Linked DNA regions of Sus scrofa. The protein of the gene in region 1 purifies or fractionates together with the protein of each later gene. This does not show direct contact. Links are inferred from orthologs where the notes say so. Each region holds a gene or a part of one and is shown on either strand. Other genes may lie near its edges.

Region 1 (8,014 bases):
AGCAAGGGACAGAGGAGTTACACACCGGCCCGGCCCGGGCACCCACCCCGCCGCCCAGGGCATGCCCCCTGCCAGCTGGACCTGTCCAGGGCCCACAGGCACCTGACACAGCTTCTCCCTGGACTCTGTTGCCCTCTGAGCAGCTGCTCTCCGCACCCCCTCCGGTGTGCTGGGTGCAGGGGCATGTGCCGGCTAACCTCCCTGACCCTCAGCCTTGGGACACTATTCCCATGAAGCTTCTCCTTGGGGACCCCGAGCCCCCACCTCTGCCCCACTTCCCCACGCATCTCCGCCACAGGCCGCGTGTGTCTGCGAAACTGCCCCTTGCTGGTTCCAGGCCACCACAGGGGGCCGGGGGAGGTGTCTGTCCTCCACTACGTCCCAGGGCCCCGCATGTCCCCCCACACCCCCAGCCCCCATTCCCACACCACCTCCTGCCTCGGCCTCTGCCACGTCTGGAACACCAGCGCCCCCCCCCAACCCCTGAAGCTTCTAACCACTCACCCCTTCCAGAAGAAGCCACCCAGGGCCCGAGCACAGAGCAGGTGGGAGCGCACAGGGCGGGGGGCGGGGAGGGGGTGGGCAACAGGGCAGAGCCAGGTGGGCAGGCAGGGAGCTGGACGCTGGCCGGCGGGCCCTCACCTTCACTCTGCTGGCTCCCAGCGCTGCCGCTGCCGTAGCTGAAGCCAGGGTCCTGGTACGCGGGTGGGAAGCAGGGCGGGGGCCCCGGGTACTGGTAGGGGTAGCCCTGGCCCAGGGGCCAGGGGGCAGCCGGGTGGGGCAACGGGGCCAGCGTGTCCTGATCGGAGGCTCCACTGGAGCCGCTGTTGAGGTTCAGGGCTGCGAGATCTGCAGGAGGGGGGGCAGGTAAGGGGAGGCGGGCGGGTCCTCCGGGGCCCTCTGCCCGTGGCCCCCACTCACTGCTGCACAGGTCCCCGAAGACGTAGTAGCACTGCTCGGAGAAGGTGACCTTGTTGACCGTGTGCCGCAGGAAGCCGCGCTTCAGCATGCTGCTGGCGTACCTGCGCGCCTCCCGCCGCTCGCGGAAGCCCTCCAGGTGCGTGTACAGCCAGTCCACCACGTCCGCCCCTGGCGCAGCCGGCGTCAGGCGTCAGGTGGGGAGCCTGGGCCGCGCCCCACCGCCCCCAAGCCCCCCGCTGCCCAGGGCCCCGCACCGATGACGGCATTGGCGATGGTGATCTTGAGCCACATGCGGTCGCGGATCTCCAGGCCCGAGTCCGGCAGCTGCATGACCCGGACGACAGCACCCATGTCACTCTTCACCGTCAGGGGCGCCTCCTCCAGCTCTGCAAGGCACACCCCGCGCTCAGCCACGGCCGGGAGCACAGCCGCGAGCACGGCCGCAAGGACCCTCCACCACCCACCCGACCGCCCGCACAGGGTCAGGGAGCGGCCTGGGGCGGGGAGGGTGGGGCCTCATCTCCAACAGGGAGATGCTTCACCAGGTCTTGTGGCCAACCAGGCGAGGCCACCCCCGCCCTGCAGACCGGACCCCACGGGGCGGAGACCAGACCCCCTCCACCCCCTTCCCCGCAAGCTGGGCCTATTAGTCATGTTAGTGGCAGAAAAGCAGCGTGAGGGCCACACGGATGCCGCCTGCCCCTGCCAGATAGCAGACCCTTGGGCAGGCCCGGCCCGGCCCCCCAGGCCCTTCCCTCCCACTACAGACAGAGGGCTGGGAAGAGGGTGCGAGCGTGGGCGCCCATGTGTCCGTGACCCCAGGGTACAGTGTCCGCCCTCGTGGGCCTGGCACCAGCACCAACGCTCAAGCCGGGATGGCCCTCGGGGGTGGCCGTGCCAGGCAGGCGCCTCGGCTGGGCCCTCACGGGTGCCTCCGTTTTCTGATCTCAGGAGCCGCCACTTACGCGGAGCGCCGGGCACAGAGCTGGTTAGTGAGGAGGAGCTGGTGCGCGTGACGGCGCTGGAGCAGGGGCTCGTACCGTAGCGGGGCAGGGCTCCGGTCAGCGCCGCCGTGTGGGACAGCCAGGCGGCCGGGTCGATGGGCCGAACCGGGTCAGCTGGGCAGCCACCGTGTGGCGACAGACGAATGGACAGTGGGGAAGAAGGCAGAGCACAGGGGCACAGGAGCACAGGGAGAGAGGCCCTTCAGGCTGGGCTGGGCGCCCCCGCCCCCGCCCCCGCCCTGCCCCGCCAGCCCCGGGGGGGTCACTCACCCCTCGGGATGGTGAAGTAGCTCCGAGGGCTTGGGTCCCAGCACTTGGCCACCGTGAGGCTGATGGGCCTGCGGGGTGGGCGGGTCACACCGGCGAGGCCCCAAGCAGCACCCCCTCCCCCCGCCACGCGCGCGCCTCACCCCGTCTGGGACACAATCTCCCGCAGCACCCGCACGGCGTCGTCGTTGCTCATGTTCTCGAAGTTGACGTCATTCACCTGGGGCGGGGGGTCAGCACAGTGGTGGGGGGTGCAGACCTCGCCCGCCCCTCCCCGCGGCCCCTGGCAGCCCCACACCTGCAGCAGCATGTCGCCCGGCTCGATGCGGCCGTCGGCGGCCACAGCCCCGCCCTTCATGATGGAGCCGATGTAGATGCCGCCATCGCCCCGGTCGTTGCTCTGGCCCACGATGCTGATGCCCAGGAAATGGTGCCTCTCTGCGGGGCCGGGTGTGTGAACAAGCGCCCCCCGCCCCCGAGCCCCGGGCCCCTCTGGCGGCGGCGGCGGCAGAGGCCTCACCCATGTTGAGCGTGACGGTGATGATGTTCAGCGACATGGTGGAGTCCGTGATGCTGCTGAAGGAGGAGGCCTGCGGGGGCGGCCCTGGGTGAGGGGCTGCGGGCGGCGCGGCGGCCCCAGGGGACAGAGCGGCCCGCACCCCCTCCACCTACGCGGTCCGTCTGGCGCATGCGCTGCTTCCGCCGGCGCCGCTTGTGCTTCCGGATGAGCCGGGACGAGGTGCTCTGCTCGGTGGAGCTGCTCAGCCTGCGGGGGCACAGGGTCAGGGCGCCGGCAGCCTCTCCGCCTGCACGCACCCCAGGGAAGCCCGCGCGGGACGCGCTGCGGAACGGGCTCAGCCCCTGCTCCCGCAACAGGAGCCCCACGGCTCGGCAGACACGAGGCAGCCGGCCCGGCCCCTGCTCGTGGGCACACGGACACCCGCACGCGCCTGGACACCCGCCCATGCCCACCGACTGGTGTTGTCGTCCTCGTCCGAGTCGATGAAGCTGCTGGACTCGAGCTCGCTGCTCAGCACAGTGGACGCGCTGTCGGGGGGCAGCCCCAGATCCCGCCGCCGGTCCCCCCTCGGGTGCCCGTTGGTCCGGGCAGCTGTGGGCACAGCAGGGAGGGGAGATGGCTGCGGGGTGCCCTGGAGCACCTGTTGCTGGGGTTGCTGCAGAGGGGGGGTCGCTAGGATCCTGTCAGCTGAGTCAGGAACCTCCACCGAGGGACCCCACTGGACAGCAGGGGCCTGGGGTGCCCCCCAGGGGCCCAGGGAGGTCAAAGGTGTGGCCTAATTACCCTCCTCACGGTTCCGGCGGCGAGCTCGCTCCCGCCGGTGGCTGACCACGGACTCTGTGCCAGTCTCGTTGTCCATCCCATCGCGGCTGCTGGCCACGTTCGGGCTGCGCCAAGAGGAAGGCAGGGTGGGGCAGGCCGGGCCGTGGATGCCCTCAGCTCCTTTCCTCCCTCATCTGGTGGAACTCCAACTCTGGCAAGGGCCCCCATCCACCCCCCAGCCCGCTCTGGGCCCCTGCTGACCAGCGCTTGCTGACCACAGGCCCCTGCTCTGCTGCCCCTCTCCATCCCCAACAGGCCTGGCAGGTCCCTCAGGACCACTGGGCTCAGCGCCACCCCCCAGAGTCCTTACTGGAAGGAGGGGGGCCGGGAGTCCCCGATGCCACCCGTCCGCTCAAGAGGTGGGGGCAGGTCCGCGTGGCCATCAGTGCCCTGAGACCCCGCATCCGAGTGTGCGCCCTCAGCCAGGACCAGCTGCAGAGGAGAGCGAGGACTCAGGGACGAGGCTTCCAGGCCACCCCGGCAGGGCCCCGGGCACAGGTGTCCAGCCCCTGCAGACTCACCCAGGAGACCACACGGCCGTTGAAGCAGGGCAGCTTGGCATTATCGTCAGAGATCTCCTCCTTCACCACCCTGTGGGCAGACAGTCGTGAAGCTGCCACCCTGGGGGCTGCCCCGTCTGTGGCCAGCAGGCGCTGGAGTAAGGCCCCCAGCTGGCCTGGGGCATGTGCCACCTGGGGCGTCCAGCCACAGGCCCAGAGGTCAGTCCCTGTGGACGCCCTGGTCCAGCACATTCCCTTCCTGGGAAACTCCAGCATCCTTCCAAGGACTCAGGGGGCACAGACACTCGACCCCCCAGCAGCAGATCACAGCCTAGGGCTCCGTGGAACAACCCACCCTGCATGGTGCCTGCGCCCCTGGAGTGTGGATCTGGAGGGCGGGGCCCGCCCCACCGGCCCAGAACAGCACCCGGTTCGCAATGCGGAGGGCCGCGGCACAAAGGGACCCCTAGACCCAGGCAGGCCAGGGTGCCCGGCACACGGACCCACAAGCACACACACTCAGAGGCATGCCCATCGGCGACCAGGGACACAGAAGCAGATGCCACTCACTGCACCAGCCCAATGCAAGACCTGGAAAAGTAGGCTTAGGGCCAGCTGGGCCCACAAGAAGGCTCAGGTCCTGGAGGTCAGCGAGCCCCACCAGCCACTGCCCAGCAGCTAGCCCTGGCCTGTCCCTCGATGCTGCCCCAGCCGGGTGAGCTTGAGGGGTGGGAAGGGCAGGTCGCAGAGGGCCAGGGCAGCACCCACTGGGAAGGACGCTAGTGACCCTGGGGTCAGAAACAGGTTCAGGAGATCTAGGCATCAGGTTCAAAGGAGTGAGGAGGGCAGCAGGGGAGGGGCTGTGGGGCAGGGCAGGGCAGGCTGTGGCCATGGCCGTGGCCCCGCACATCCTGTACTGCAACCTCCTGGAGGCCGGGGGTGGGGGGTGTGGGGGGGGAAGCAGGGCAGGCAGGGCGGGGCCTGCAGTGGGAAGGGCCCCGGCGCCTGCCCCCTGGAATCCGCCCTGCCCAGCGTGCAGACGTCTACACCTGGGACTGAGGCCCAGTGCAGAAAGAAGAGCCAGAGACCAGGCAGGAAACAGCCTCACAGCCTGCTGGGCCTGGACCCCTCCACTTGGCTGGTCCCAGGCCGCAGCAAGGGCAGGAGTCCCCCGCAGAGCTGACACACCACCTCCCACCAGGGAGCAGGGCCCTTGGGGCAGAGTGGATGTGGAGCAGACAGAGCCCGTCTGGAGAGGGAGGGCACTGCCGGGGGCTACGGTGACCACCTGCCCCCCGCCCCCGGCCACCCACACACACACACACAATAGGGGGACACCCTGGCAGATGAAAAGAGCCACTCCTCGGACCCCTCCTCTCCCTAGTGACGAGCAGACCCTGCCTGCGGCCCCACTCTCACACCACGTCCGGGACCAGTCCAAGATTCAACCGAGAAAGCTACACAGAGAGCTGTCACCACAGGAAGACCTGGGTGGCCTGGGGACACCTGGGGTCCTGCCCATCTGCAGCCAACATACAAGGGACTACAGCAAGCCCTCCTGGGCACCCAAGCAGCCACAGACCCAGGAGGGACCTGGTGCCCGCTTCACGGCCCAGGGAGCCCAGCCAGCCACCTCCGCTGCACCCCCGCCCCCACCCTTTGTGACTCATCCTTGGGGCCTGCCTGGCACCCTTGAGGCAGGCACCCCAGGCCGGGGGGCCCAGGAGCACCCCAAGGCCCCACTGCCCATGCAGCCAGTACCCCAAGATGGCCCATCCCCCAGAGCTGCCTGAAGCCTCCACGCACCCACCCACCCAGGCACACCCCTCCCAGGCCCCCCTTCGCCGGCCCTCTGTGGCTAAGAAACACCCCTCCCAGCCTGCGCAGGACAGCGTCCTGCTCCCTGGAGGTTGGGGCACTGAGGGGCAGCTAGGCCGGGACAGCAGGGAGGGGGGGGCAGGTGTCCAAGCCCCCAGGAAAAAGGGTACGGGGTGCGCAGTGCTGCCCACCCCCGCCGATGGCCAGGAAGAGGGACAGGGTGGGATCCAGGGAGACCTGGGCTGTGCACAGGAGAGGCCCCCAGACCACCCTGGGCTCCCTCCCGGGTGGGGCCTCAGCAGGCAGGAGCGCAGGCCTCGGGAGCAGTGGTCGATGAAGGCACTGACCCTCGGGCTGGCTGCCCAGGGACACCCCTGTTGGCACCTTGCCCCCAACCTCAGAGTTCCTGGCGAGATCCCAGTTAACATCCAACTTGGGATGCCCAGCCCCACCTGCCGCCCTCGCAGACTCGCCCCAGTGAGGAATCTGCTCGAAGTGGGGCCCTTGGAACGAAGCCAGGGGCCAGGAGGACCCCTGGGCCCCCAGAGGCCACCGCACACCACAGCCGGCCCTTCCCGACCGGGTGGCCCCAACTGTGTCCCCATGAGTTGGGGGTCCTCAGCTCCCACAGAGCCTTCATCTGTCCCCTCACTGTCTCCTGACCAGCAGTAGGCTCCAGGGTGAGGGGTCCCAGTCCTCCACGACCTGCCGCGGGCTCTGGGGGTCACAGGTCTAGACTTTCCCGAGCCCAGCGGGCTGAGCGGCAGCGGTAGAGGGGGACCGCGGGCCTTCTGGGCCAGGCCAAGCACAGCACCCCCACGCCACCCAAAACCATGACAGGTGGCCCCACAGACTGGAGCTCCTAGCCCAGACGCCAAGGGGCCAGGGCCACCACCAGACAGATGGCTTCATGCCAAGAGCAGCCAGGCCTGGAACCTGCAAAGCGGCCCTAGTGGCAGAAACCTGTGACCAAATGCCCTCAACCTCTGCCCCTTGGCCCCAAGGCCAGGCCAAGCCCCTCCTTGCACCAGCACTGGCCCACCTCCGGGCCAGCCCTCCCCAGGCCCAGAGACCCTCCCCAGCTTTGCTAGGACACAATAGCTGTGACCTGCATAGGAAAAGTGGGAAGTGGGTGCAGGACTTGCCGCCCTTTTGGTCAAAGAGGCCCACGGGGAAGAGAGGGGGTCGGCCCAGAGCACGTGGCTATGGCCACACCTCAGGCTCCCACAGTGGCCTGAGGGGTTGGGGCAGGATGCCCAGGCTCACCTGGCGCTCCTCACAGTCCCCTCTCCTGAGACAGCTTCTGCCCCAGCCCAGCCAGGACCTACACTCTCCACAACCTCCAACTACATCCACTAGGTATCCAGGACGAGCCTCCAGTTCTGGTTTATACTAAGGTGTGAATGACTAACCAGCTCCTCCCAGAGAAAACTTATTCCACTGAATAAGCGACTTTACAGAATAAATAAGAGCTAGAGCTCTGCAGGTAGATCTTAGTATGGTGGAGAAGGAGGCTGATCCTCTCCAAGGGTCCCCTGAGGCCAATAGCCCACAAACCAGAGATCGGGGTGGGGGATAAGATGAACTTTCCAAAGTCACCCCAAACCCTCCCTCTGTCCCAGCCCCATCTGCCAGACTGCTCTTATTCCCTCCCCCACATTCCAGACATGCTCAGGTGACCTGAAGAGCTCCTACTCATGCTTTAGGACCCAGATCTGCCCGCCCACTGTCCTCCTAGGCCAGGGAACCCAGGTCCTGCAAGTCCTCCAGGAGGCCCGGCCTCTGCTGGGAGAACACGTTGAGCGGGACAGGGGTCTCGGCAGCTTAGTGGCTCTCAGACACAGGAGCAGGGTCAGACCCCTCAGGATGCAGCCCGGATCACGGTCCAAGGGCAGCAAGCTGGGGGGCTGGGCACATGCCTGGACACACACTCCCTGCTGGCTTCAGTTTGTGACAGAGCATGTGCGACTTGAGTGATTTTTATTAAAATAATCAAGTTAAAAACGAAACACTTTCACATACCCAATGCTAACACCCAAAGCAGGCCAGACCCAGAGAAGATGGGATGGCCCAGCGAGGTCCATGCTGGGATCACATGCCCTTAAATGATGCCCTACCCTGTGGAGCCCAGCCTGGGCCCAGCAGGGCGGGGGGCACCGAGC
Region 2 (8,014 bases), on another chromosome or scaffold:
CGTGGTGGTTTAGCAGTAATGAACCCACCTAGTGTCCATGAGGACTCGGGTTTGAGCCCCAGCCCCACTCAGTGGGTGACGGATGTGGTGTGGCTGTGGCGGTGGTGGAGGCCGGCAGCTGCAGCTCCGATTCAGCCCCTGGCCTGGGAACCGCCATGTGCCACAGGCGCGGCCCTAAAAAGCCAGGAAAAACAAAGAAAGAAAAAGAAAAAGAATATTAGCAGCTGAATGTTAGGTGAACCTGTGGCATTTTGAAACCCCAGGTGGAATTTCGGTGCACGCAGAGCTGTTAAGGAGGCTGGAGCTCGGGTCCCCAGGCGTCCAGAAGCTCCCCGTGGCTCCCTGGCCTTTCAGGGCAGTCGGCGTCAGCAGCGCCCAGGCCACCAAGGCCTGGCCAACAGTTTCCCGGGGCCCCCAGCCCCTCATCCCTGCAGAGCGTGGGGCTGGGACGGAGACACTGGTCGGGTCTCTGCTGGGGCGACTCCCAGCCACGCCCGTGAGGTGCGCGTCCCCTGGGTCCGTGCCCCTCTCCCCATCTGTCCTCTTTGGCGGCTCGTCCACGTGACACGCTGCCGCTGTGCAGGGCCGAGGAGCTGGGCGGTAGACCTGTGGAGACCTGTTCGTGCTCATCCAGGGCGGCTTTGTCTCCCGGTCTCTCAGTCGTGACCGTCTCACTCCGCATGCTGGTGGGGGCGAGCCCGCGAGACAGGAATCCCAAACAGGTGTCCCTTCAGGAATTACAGCAATCACACATTCCTGTGTACAGATATGGGTGTGGTCACTGTTTGAGTCCAGGGAAACCACTGGCTCAGGGTGAGAATTGGAGTTCCCATCGTGGCGCAGCGGAAACGCATCCGACTAGGAACCATGAGGTTGGGGGTTCGATCCCTGGCCTCGCTCAGCGGGTTAAGGATCCGGCGTGGCTGTGGCTGTGCTGTAGGCCAGCAGCTGTAGCTCCGATTGGACCCTTAGCCGGGGAAGCTCCATGTGCCCCGAGTGCGGCCCTTTTAAAAAAAGACGAAAAAGAGCTCATCTGTCGATGGGCATGATGGAAGATACGGCCGTGAGATTGAGGAGTAGGAAAACTCAAAAACAGTGCAGTTTTTATTGAGGCATCGGAGAAAGCAGAGGCAGGGCCCAGCTTCCTGGCGGGCTTCTGGGCCTGTGGCTTCGTGCCCCTCCTGGGCGCCCTCCTGCCGCGCAGCCCACCCACAGCCCTGCCGCATGCGAGGGACCCTGGCCTGGCCCCGCCTAGTCCTGGCCTCTGCTGGTCTGGTGTTTGTCTCCTCAGGTGTGGGACTTCTACGGTGTGGGCAGTGCCAAGAGGTGACGCGCAGCCTTGTCCCCACAGGAGGAGGAAGGCGAAGGTGGTGATGTGTCCTCTGCCCCCCCAGGGGCCAGTCACAAGCTGCCTGCGGCCCCGGCCTGGCACCACTTCCCAGCGCGCTACGCGGACGTGGGCTGCGTGGGGCTGCGGGACGCGCACGAGGAGAACCCCGAGAGCATCCTGGACGAGCACGTGCAGCGGGTCATGCGGACACCGGGCTGCCAGTCGCCAGGACCCGGCCACCGCTCCCCGGAGAACTCGCACATGCCCAAGATCGGGGTGCTGGGGGCCGCGGTGCCCGGACACGGAAAGCACGCGCCCAAGTTGGGGGTGAAGCTCGACGCAGCTGGCCTGCACCTCCACAGACACAGCCACCACCATGGCCACCATGGTGCCGCCAGGCCCAAGGAGCCGGCCGAGGCCGAGGCCTCCCGCCGGGTCCAGAGCAGCTTCGCATGGGGCCCGGAGCTGCACGGCCACGCGGCCAAGCCCCGCAGCCACTTGGAGAGCCTGGGGACCCCTCTCAACACCGGTGACAGCCTGGCCTACAGGTGGGTGTCTGCGGCAGCCCGCACGTGGGGACAGGCCAGGGCTGTGCTCACGTCGTCCCGTGTCGGTGTCGGCTCGAGGCCTGAGGCCGTGTGTCCTGTGGACCCTGTGCCAGGGTCCACGCCGGATTCCCCTGTAACAGTCCTTAAACTGAGGTCAGCCCCAGAGGCTGCATTAAACCCGTGTGCCCGGGCGTCCTGATCCCTGGGCTTCCGCCTCGAGTGTGGTGGGATCAGATGCGCCCAGTGCCGAGGGCCTGCCTGGGTGAGGAGGTGGCCGGGCCCTGGCTGCTACCACCTTGGCTCCAGCCCTCCCAGACGGTGCTGCTGGACCCTTCCTTCCCTCCCCGCCGTCGCATCCAGCCCGCGGCGCTGTCGAGGCCTCTGCCCTTTGGGTCCCCCTCCCCCCACCATACGGCTCGCAGCAGCAGCAGGCCAGCGGACGGCAGCGGTGGCCCGGGTCTTGCTCTTGCAGCGGCAAGGCAGGCATGACCTCCAAAAGAAGCGCCAAGAAGGCCGAGTCAGGGAGGAGTGCCAGCGCAGAGGCACCGGGCCCCTCCGAGGATGCGGAGAAGAACCAGAAGATCATGCAGTGGATCATCGAGGGCGAGAAGGAGATCAGCAGGCACCGGAAGGCTGGGCATGGGTGAGGGGGCGTGGCCGAGGGGGCCTGGGTGAGAGGGCACAGCTGAGGGGGGCCCCCTGCCAGCAACCTGACCAGCTGGTCTAGCCACGGGCCACGGGCCGTGGACACGAGAAACCTGTAGAATGGGGCCCGGTCCGTGGTAGCCTTAGGGTGGTGCCTTCCTGTGGGGGCGGGATCGTCAGGGAGCTTCAATGTCTGTCCCCGCTGCCACCCACCTACCTCGAGGCCTGCCAGGCAGGGGCTGCTGCCACCTGGATGCCTTCCGGGTCTGACCTGCTTATCCCTGGCAGCTGGGGGCCGGTTCTCATCTGCTCTTTGATCCTCTGGGCTCTGTGTGGTCAGTCTCGGTGTCACCCCCGTCCCCATCACGGGGGGGATGGGGGCCCGAGGCTGCTGGAGTCTCCCCTTGGTGGGCAGGCCATCCGACTCCCACAGGCAGATGCCCTCTGCCCTCCCGGGCACGGCTGGGGAGGCCTCAGTGGTGCATGAGGCAGGCGAGTTGGACCCGGGGTCCCTGATCTTGCCTGCAGGCGACCTGGAAATGAGCCCTCTGCCAGTGTCCAGACGCTTTGCAGCCGTGCTGCTCGGGGGCCCACTCTGGGAGCCCCTCCTCGTGGGGTTGGGTGGGGTGGATTCTCAGCCTCTGATGTTCACCAGGGGTGGCTCTGTCCTCGCAGCGCCTACTGCATGGAGAGTTTCTAGGGGACAGAGCAGGAGTGGAAGGGTCTCCCGGCTTCGGCAGCCTCCTGCCCTCTGCGTGGCTGTGGACCTGGGGGGTGGCAGCGTGGGGACCAATGGCCCTGGGCGGGGAGGGAGGAGCAAGGAGCCAGGGCCAGGGGCTGGGCTTCCTGTGGGGCTTTTTGGAGTCCGCCCCCAGCCTGAGGCGGTTTTGGTGTCACAGGGGCACTGGCGGCCCCTTCCTGGGATTCTCTTTTTTTTTTTTTGTCTTTTGTCTTTTTAGGGCCACACACATGGAGGTTCCCAGGCTAGGGGTCCAATCGGAGCTGTAGCCACCGGCCTACGGCACAGCCGCAGCAACACAGGATCCGAGCCGCATCTGCAAGCTTCATCACAGCTCAGGGTAACGCCGGATCCTTCACCCACTGGGCGAGGCCAGGGATCGAACCCGCAACCTCATGGATACTAGTCGGGTTTGTCACCCTCTGAGCCACGACGGGAACTCCGGGATTCTCTGGTTTTTGCTCCCGGTGCTAAGCTTGCTTTCCGAGGCCTCCGGGCTCAGCTCAGAGAAGCCGCTGTTTCCCCTCAGATCCCCCTAGTGGGCGAGCAAGGGCCGGTCACCCAGGTGCAGCCTGTTCTCAGTGTCTGATAAAGGAGAATGGGCAGCACGTTGAGGGAAAATCAGGGAATTGATAGGTGCAGAATTATGTCAACTATGTCGGGGGTTTTTGGGGGGGCCCTTTTGTTTGAGGGCCGCACTTGCGGCCTATGGAAGGTCCCAGGAATTTCCCAGCTGTAGCGAATTGGAGCCACAGCTGCCGGCCTCCACCACAGCTGCCGGCCTCCACCACAGCTGCCGGCCTCCACCACAGCTCACGTCAACACCAGATCCTTAACCCAGTGAGCGAGGCCAGGGATCGAACCAGCGTCCTTAAAGATGCTAGTCGGGTTCGTTAACCATTGAGCCACGACAGGCACTGCCCGGTGAAGTTTTTTTTTTTTTGTCTTTTTGCCCTTTCTGGGGCTGCTCCCGTGGCATATGGAGGTTCCCAGGCTAGGGGTCGAATCGGAGCTGCATCCACCGGCCTACGCCAGAGCCACAGCAACACGGGATCCGAGCTGCGTCTGCAACCTACACCACAGCTCACGGCAACGCCGGATCCTTCACCCACTGAGAGAGGCCAGGGATCGAACCCGCCACCTCATGGTTTTTAGTCGGATTCGTTAACCACTGCGCCACGACGGGCACCCCCCGGTGAAGTATTTTTAACAAGGAAAGAAATACACTAAATATTCCAAGAGTGGCAATTTCCAAATTGATTTGTTTTTTCATCGACTTTCCCGCATGCAGGAGGCAGGAGGGGACGGTGTTTGCATGGGATGCAGTTTACAGTTCAGTAACGCTCTTAAACCCAGTAGGAAACCGGTGTCGGGAACGCGCTGTGTGCCGGGCGTGCTGGAGGCCGGGGCACGGGCTTAGGCAGCTGCCTCATCTTCTCTCTGACCCCGCAGGTCGTCTGGGGCAAAGAAGCAGCAGGCCCATGAGAGCTCCAGGCCCCTGTCCATCGAGCGTCCTGGGGCCGTGCACCCTTGGGTCAGCGCCCAGCTCCGCAACTCCGTCCAGCCCTCGCATCTCTTCATTCAAGACCCCACGATGCCGCCCAACCCGGCCCCCAACCCCCTGACGCAGCTGGAGGAGGCCCGCCGGCGTCTGGAGGAGGAGGAGAAGCGAGCCAGCAAGGTGCCCTCCAAGCAGAGGTACGGGCCTCAGGGAGGGCAGGGGCTGCCTGTCCGGCTCCCCCCGACCCCCGTGCCGTGGCGCTGCGACGCTGTGGCCCCGCTTCCTGGGTGACGCTCCCGGGGCCTGCGGCGTGTGTCGGGGCTGGGGAGCGAGGGGAGCCTCCCCGAGTCACTGCTGCCCTGTGAGGGCGCTCACTGGCCTTCACCCTGCGGCTCCGAGGTTGCGGTCAGACCACCAGGGGCTGCTGAGCCGGCCGAGCTCACAGGGTGGTCCCTGAACGGGCCGTTCACGTGCACGCGGGCGTCCTGTTGGGGCAGGTGTCTGTGCTGAGACACGTAGGGCCGTCGCATTTAGAGAGACACCGCCTTCCTCCCTTCCCTTCTCCGCCTGCAGGGCCGGGCGGTGGGCCTGGCTGCTGTGTCACCCTGCCAGGCCGTCTTCTCCCCCTGAGGGAGCCGGGGGCCCCCCCTTGGTGGGGGCATATTGTTCCTCCAGGCTGGACCCTCTCAGCTGGGCCTTGAGGTCCCTTTCCTGGGAGGGGCCGGGCAGCCTGGGCAGTGGGGTCGTAAACCTGCGGCCACTGCTGCTCAGGCCTCATTGGCTCCCCTCGCGCCGACTCCTGTCAGCCGGACCTCTGGCTCCAGCCTCACTGTGTGGACCGCCCTGCTCTGGGGACGCCAGCGTCCATCTCAGGCACAGCCAGAAGCAGGACGTGTACCCCAGCTTGTCAGAGGCACCCACATTTACTGCCGCTGTCTTATCCCGGGGTCTTCTGTCGGTGCAGAGCCCGGGGGCCGCCCCCATCTGACAGGCCTGCGCGCTGGAGGCAGGCAGGGCGCCAGGGCTGGGACGCAAGGACCTCCTCTGTGCAGCATGTCCTCTCTGGCCCGCGACACCGAGCTGAGCCACATACGGGTCGGCCCAGGGCATGCGGGCCTTTGGCCACTGGCTACAGACCCAGAGCAAAGGTCGCCGGGCCTCCTCATGGGGCGGCCCCCCCAGGCTGATCACGTAGAAGTCACCTCAAGGCCACGTCAGCCGGGGTGGACGGCCCCGGGGAGAGGAGCGGCTGGGCGGCGTGCCCTCCAGATGCCGCAGAGCCCGGGTCTGCGTGGAGCGCGGCATGGGAAGAGCCACTCCTCGGGCCGAAGCGGCAGCCCCCCATGAAGGCCGAGGCCCCCGGCGTGCGTGTGGACGAGCAGCTCCGGGAGCCCGAGGTCCGCTCTGGATGGACGGGCGCGTGTTGGTGTGGATGCACCCGAGGAGCCCAGCGTTCTCAGCCCTGCTCCAGCAGCCACGTCCTGGGCGCCTCCCGTGCGGGAGCCCTGCCCGAGCCGGCTGACCTGCGCCTGCCGCCGGTTCACTGGCGCGTTGTTCCCTAGGTATGTGCAGGGGGTCATCCAGCGGGGGCGCTCGTGCGCCAGGCCAGCGTGCACGCCCGTGCTGAGCATGGTGCCAGCGGTGTCCGACCTGGAGCTCTCCGAGGCAGAGCACGTGCGCTCCCCGCCGGTCCTCCCATCCTGCCCACCCTGCCCCGCTGGCCAGGCCCGGCAGTGGCATGGCTCTGCCCAGAGGGCAGCTCGGGCACGTCGCCCGAAGAGCCGGGGCTGCAAGTTGCGTCTCTGCCGAAGGAACCGCCGACTGTCCACGTGGTGACACGCCACCACTGGGCCGGAGAGGAGGGCCGCACTCCTCCTGCTCCCCCGCCACATGTCCCCCACCAGGCCTTGCGACACGCTGGGCTGCCACCTGTCTGGCCTGCCGGGGTCAGGGCTGCAGCCGGGGCGCCCCTGGCACACAGCCGCCCGAGGTGTCCTCATCGGGCACTTTGCACACAGCGACTGGCTCTTTCTCACGTGGGCCAGGCTGGGTCTCAGGGAGCCACGTGCTGTGTGTAGACAGGGCCGGCCACTTCGTCCCTGCCCTGGTGCTCGAGACGGAGCAGAAGGCGGGTCCCTCCTAAGCCCTCGCCAGGCTCACCCCTGACAGCACGTCGTCCCGTCCAGCCGCATGCACACTGCAGGGGTCTCTGCGTCCCCTTCTGTAGACAGTGAACTGCTCCAGAGCCCCCAGTGGGCTCCCGGGACAAGCTGGGTTTGAGGCTGCCGGCTGAGAGAAGGGATTCAGGTGCCTGGGAACCCGGCCCGAGCAGTGGGTGGCCACACGGCTGAGGTGACTGCTTGCTGTGTGCGCAGGAGGGCTGGGGGGCCAGGAGAGTGGAGCCCGCTGTGAGCTCAGGTGGCCTTCCTCAGGTGACGCTGGCAGTGCTGGGCGGGTACAGGACGAGGGGTGCTGCCTCCGCCGGTCAGGGTGAAGGTCCCCCCAGCCCGGGAGGGGACGGCACGGTGGCCTCACGTTGCTGTCCCGAAGCATGGCCGGTTACTGTGCCTGGTCTGGGACAGGTTCTCCGCTGAGGGGCAGATCTGTCTCAGTTCTGTTGGTCCAGTCCTGGCCTTGACGCGTTTTCTAGGCTTCAGGGCTGCAGGCCTTCCCAGGGTGCCAGCACTGTAGCCTGGCCTAGGCTGGGGACCCCGGCAGTTGCTGTGGCCAGGCCACCTCGACACGCCTGGCCCAGGCCTCCGCTCTGGGTGCCAGCGCTGGGTACGGGTCTGCCTCTGGTCAGCTCAGGCCACCCTGAGACCAGGGCCTCGCGCTGGGCAGGCCGCCTGGCTGGTTAGACGCGCTCCAGGCGGGCCACAAGCTGCTGTCCGCGCGTCAGGGCATGTGGATTGGCTGGCGTAAGCCTGGAAACCTGGGTTGAGGCAGGCGCAGGGCGAGTCCCTGGGGCTGGATGTGGCCGTGTGGGCTGGGTGGGCCCTGGAGCTTGTGGACGGGTTGTGTGTCTGAGCATGGTGCCTCTCCCCTGCAGGCCCTGGAAGCCTGGGTGCCCGGGGGACACCGGGCCCAGCAGTCACCACCACTTCTCTGCCCCCAGGACGAAATCGCAGAGGAAGGCAGGCGGAGGGAGTGCCCAGCCGTGCGATAGCATCGTTGTGGCCTATTACTTCTGTGGGGAGCCCATCCCCTACCGGACCCTGGTGAGGGGCCGCGCGGTCACGCTGGGCCAGTTC

The links.
Region 2: the proteins of DVL1 (region 1) and AXIN1 purify together in Homo sapiens (affinity purification with western blotting; 3 studies listed by BioGRID). This does not show direct contact. The link is inferred for Sus scrofa from reciprocal best matches to the Homo sapiens genes DVL1 and AXIN1.

What each region holds. Positions count from the first base shown.
Region 1 is NC_010448.4:63,619,600-63,627,613, forward strand, and holds part of DVL1 (segment polarity protein dishevelled homolog DVL-1), read right to left. Parts: intron 4,126-8,014; coding exon 4,056-4,125; intron 3,967-4,055; coding exon 3,845-3,966; intron 3,600-3,844; coding exon 3,496-3,599; intron 3,304-3,495; coding exon 3,165-3,303; intron 2,959-3,164; coding exon 2,865-2,958; intron 2,783-2,864; coding exon 2,713-2,782; intron 2,631-2,712; coding exon 2,491-2,630; intron 2,413-2,490; coding exon 2,336-2,412; intron 2,264-2,335; coding exon 2,196-2,263; intron 2,040-2,195; coding exon 1,887-2,039; intron 1,308-1,886; coding exon 1,176-1,307; intron 1,090-1,175; coding exon 643-1,089; intron 1-642. UniProt on the Homo sapiens protein: Participates in Wnt signaling by binding to the cytoplasmic C-terminus of frizzled family members and transducing the Wnt signal to down-stream effectors. Plays a role both in canonical and non-canonical Wnt signaling.
Region 2 is NC_010445.4:41,384,542-41,392,555, forward strand, and holds part of AXIN1 (axin-1), read left to right. Parts: intron 1-1,351; coding exon 1,352-1,878; intron 1,879-2,350; coding exon 2,351-2,521; intron 2,522-4,714; coding exon 4,715-4,960; exon of another isoform or gene 4,961-6,325; coding exon of another isoform or gene 6,326-6,433; exon of another isoform or gene 6,434-7,878; coding exon 7,879-8,014. UniProt on the Homo sapiens protein: Component of the beta-catenin destruction complex required for regulating CTNNB1 levels through phosphorylation and ubiquitination, and modulating Wnt-signaling.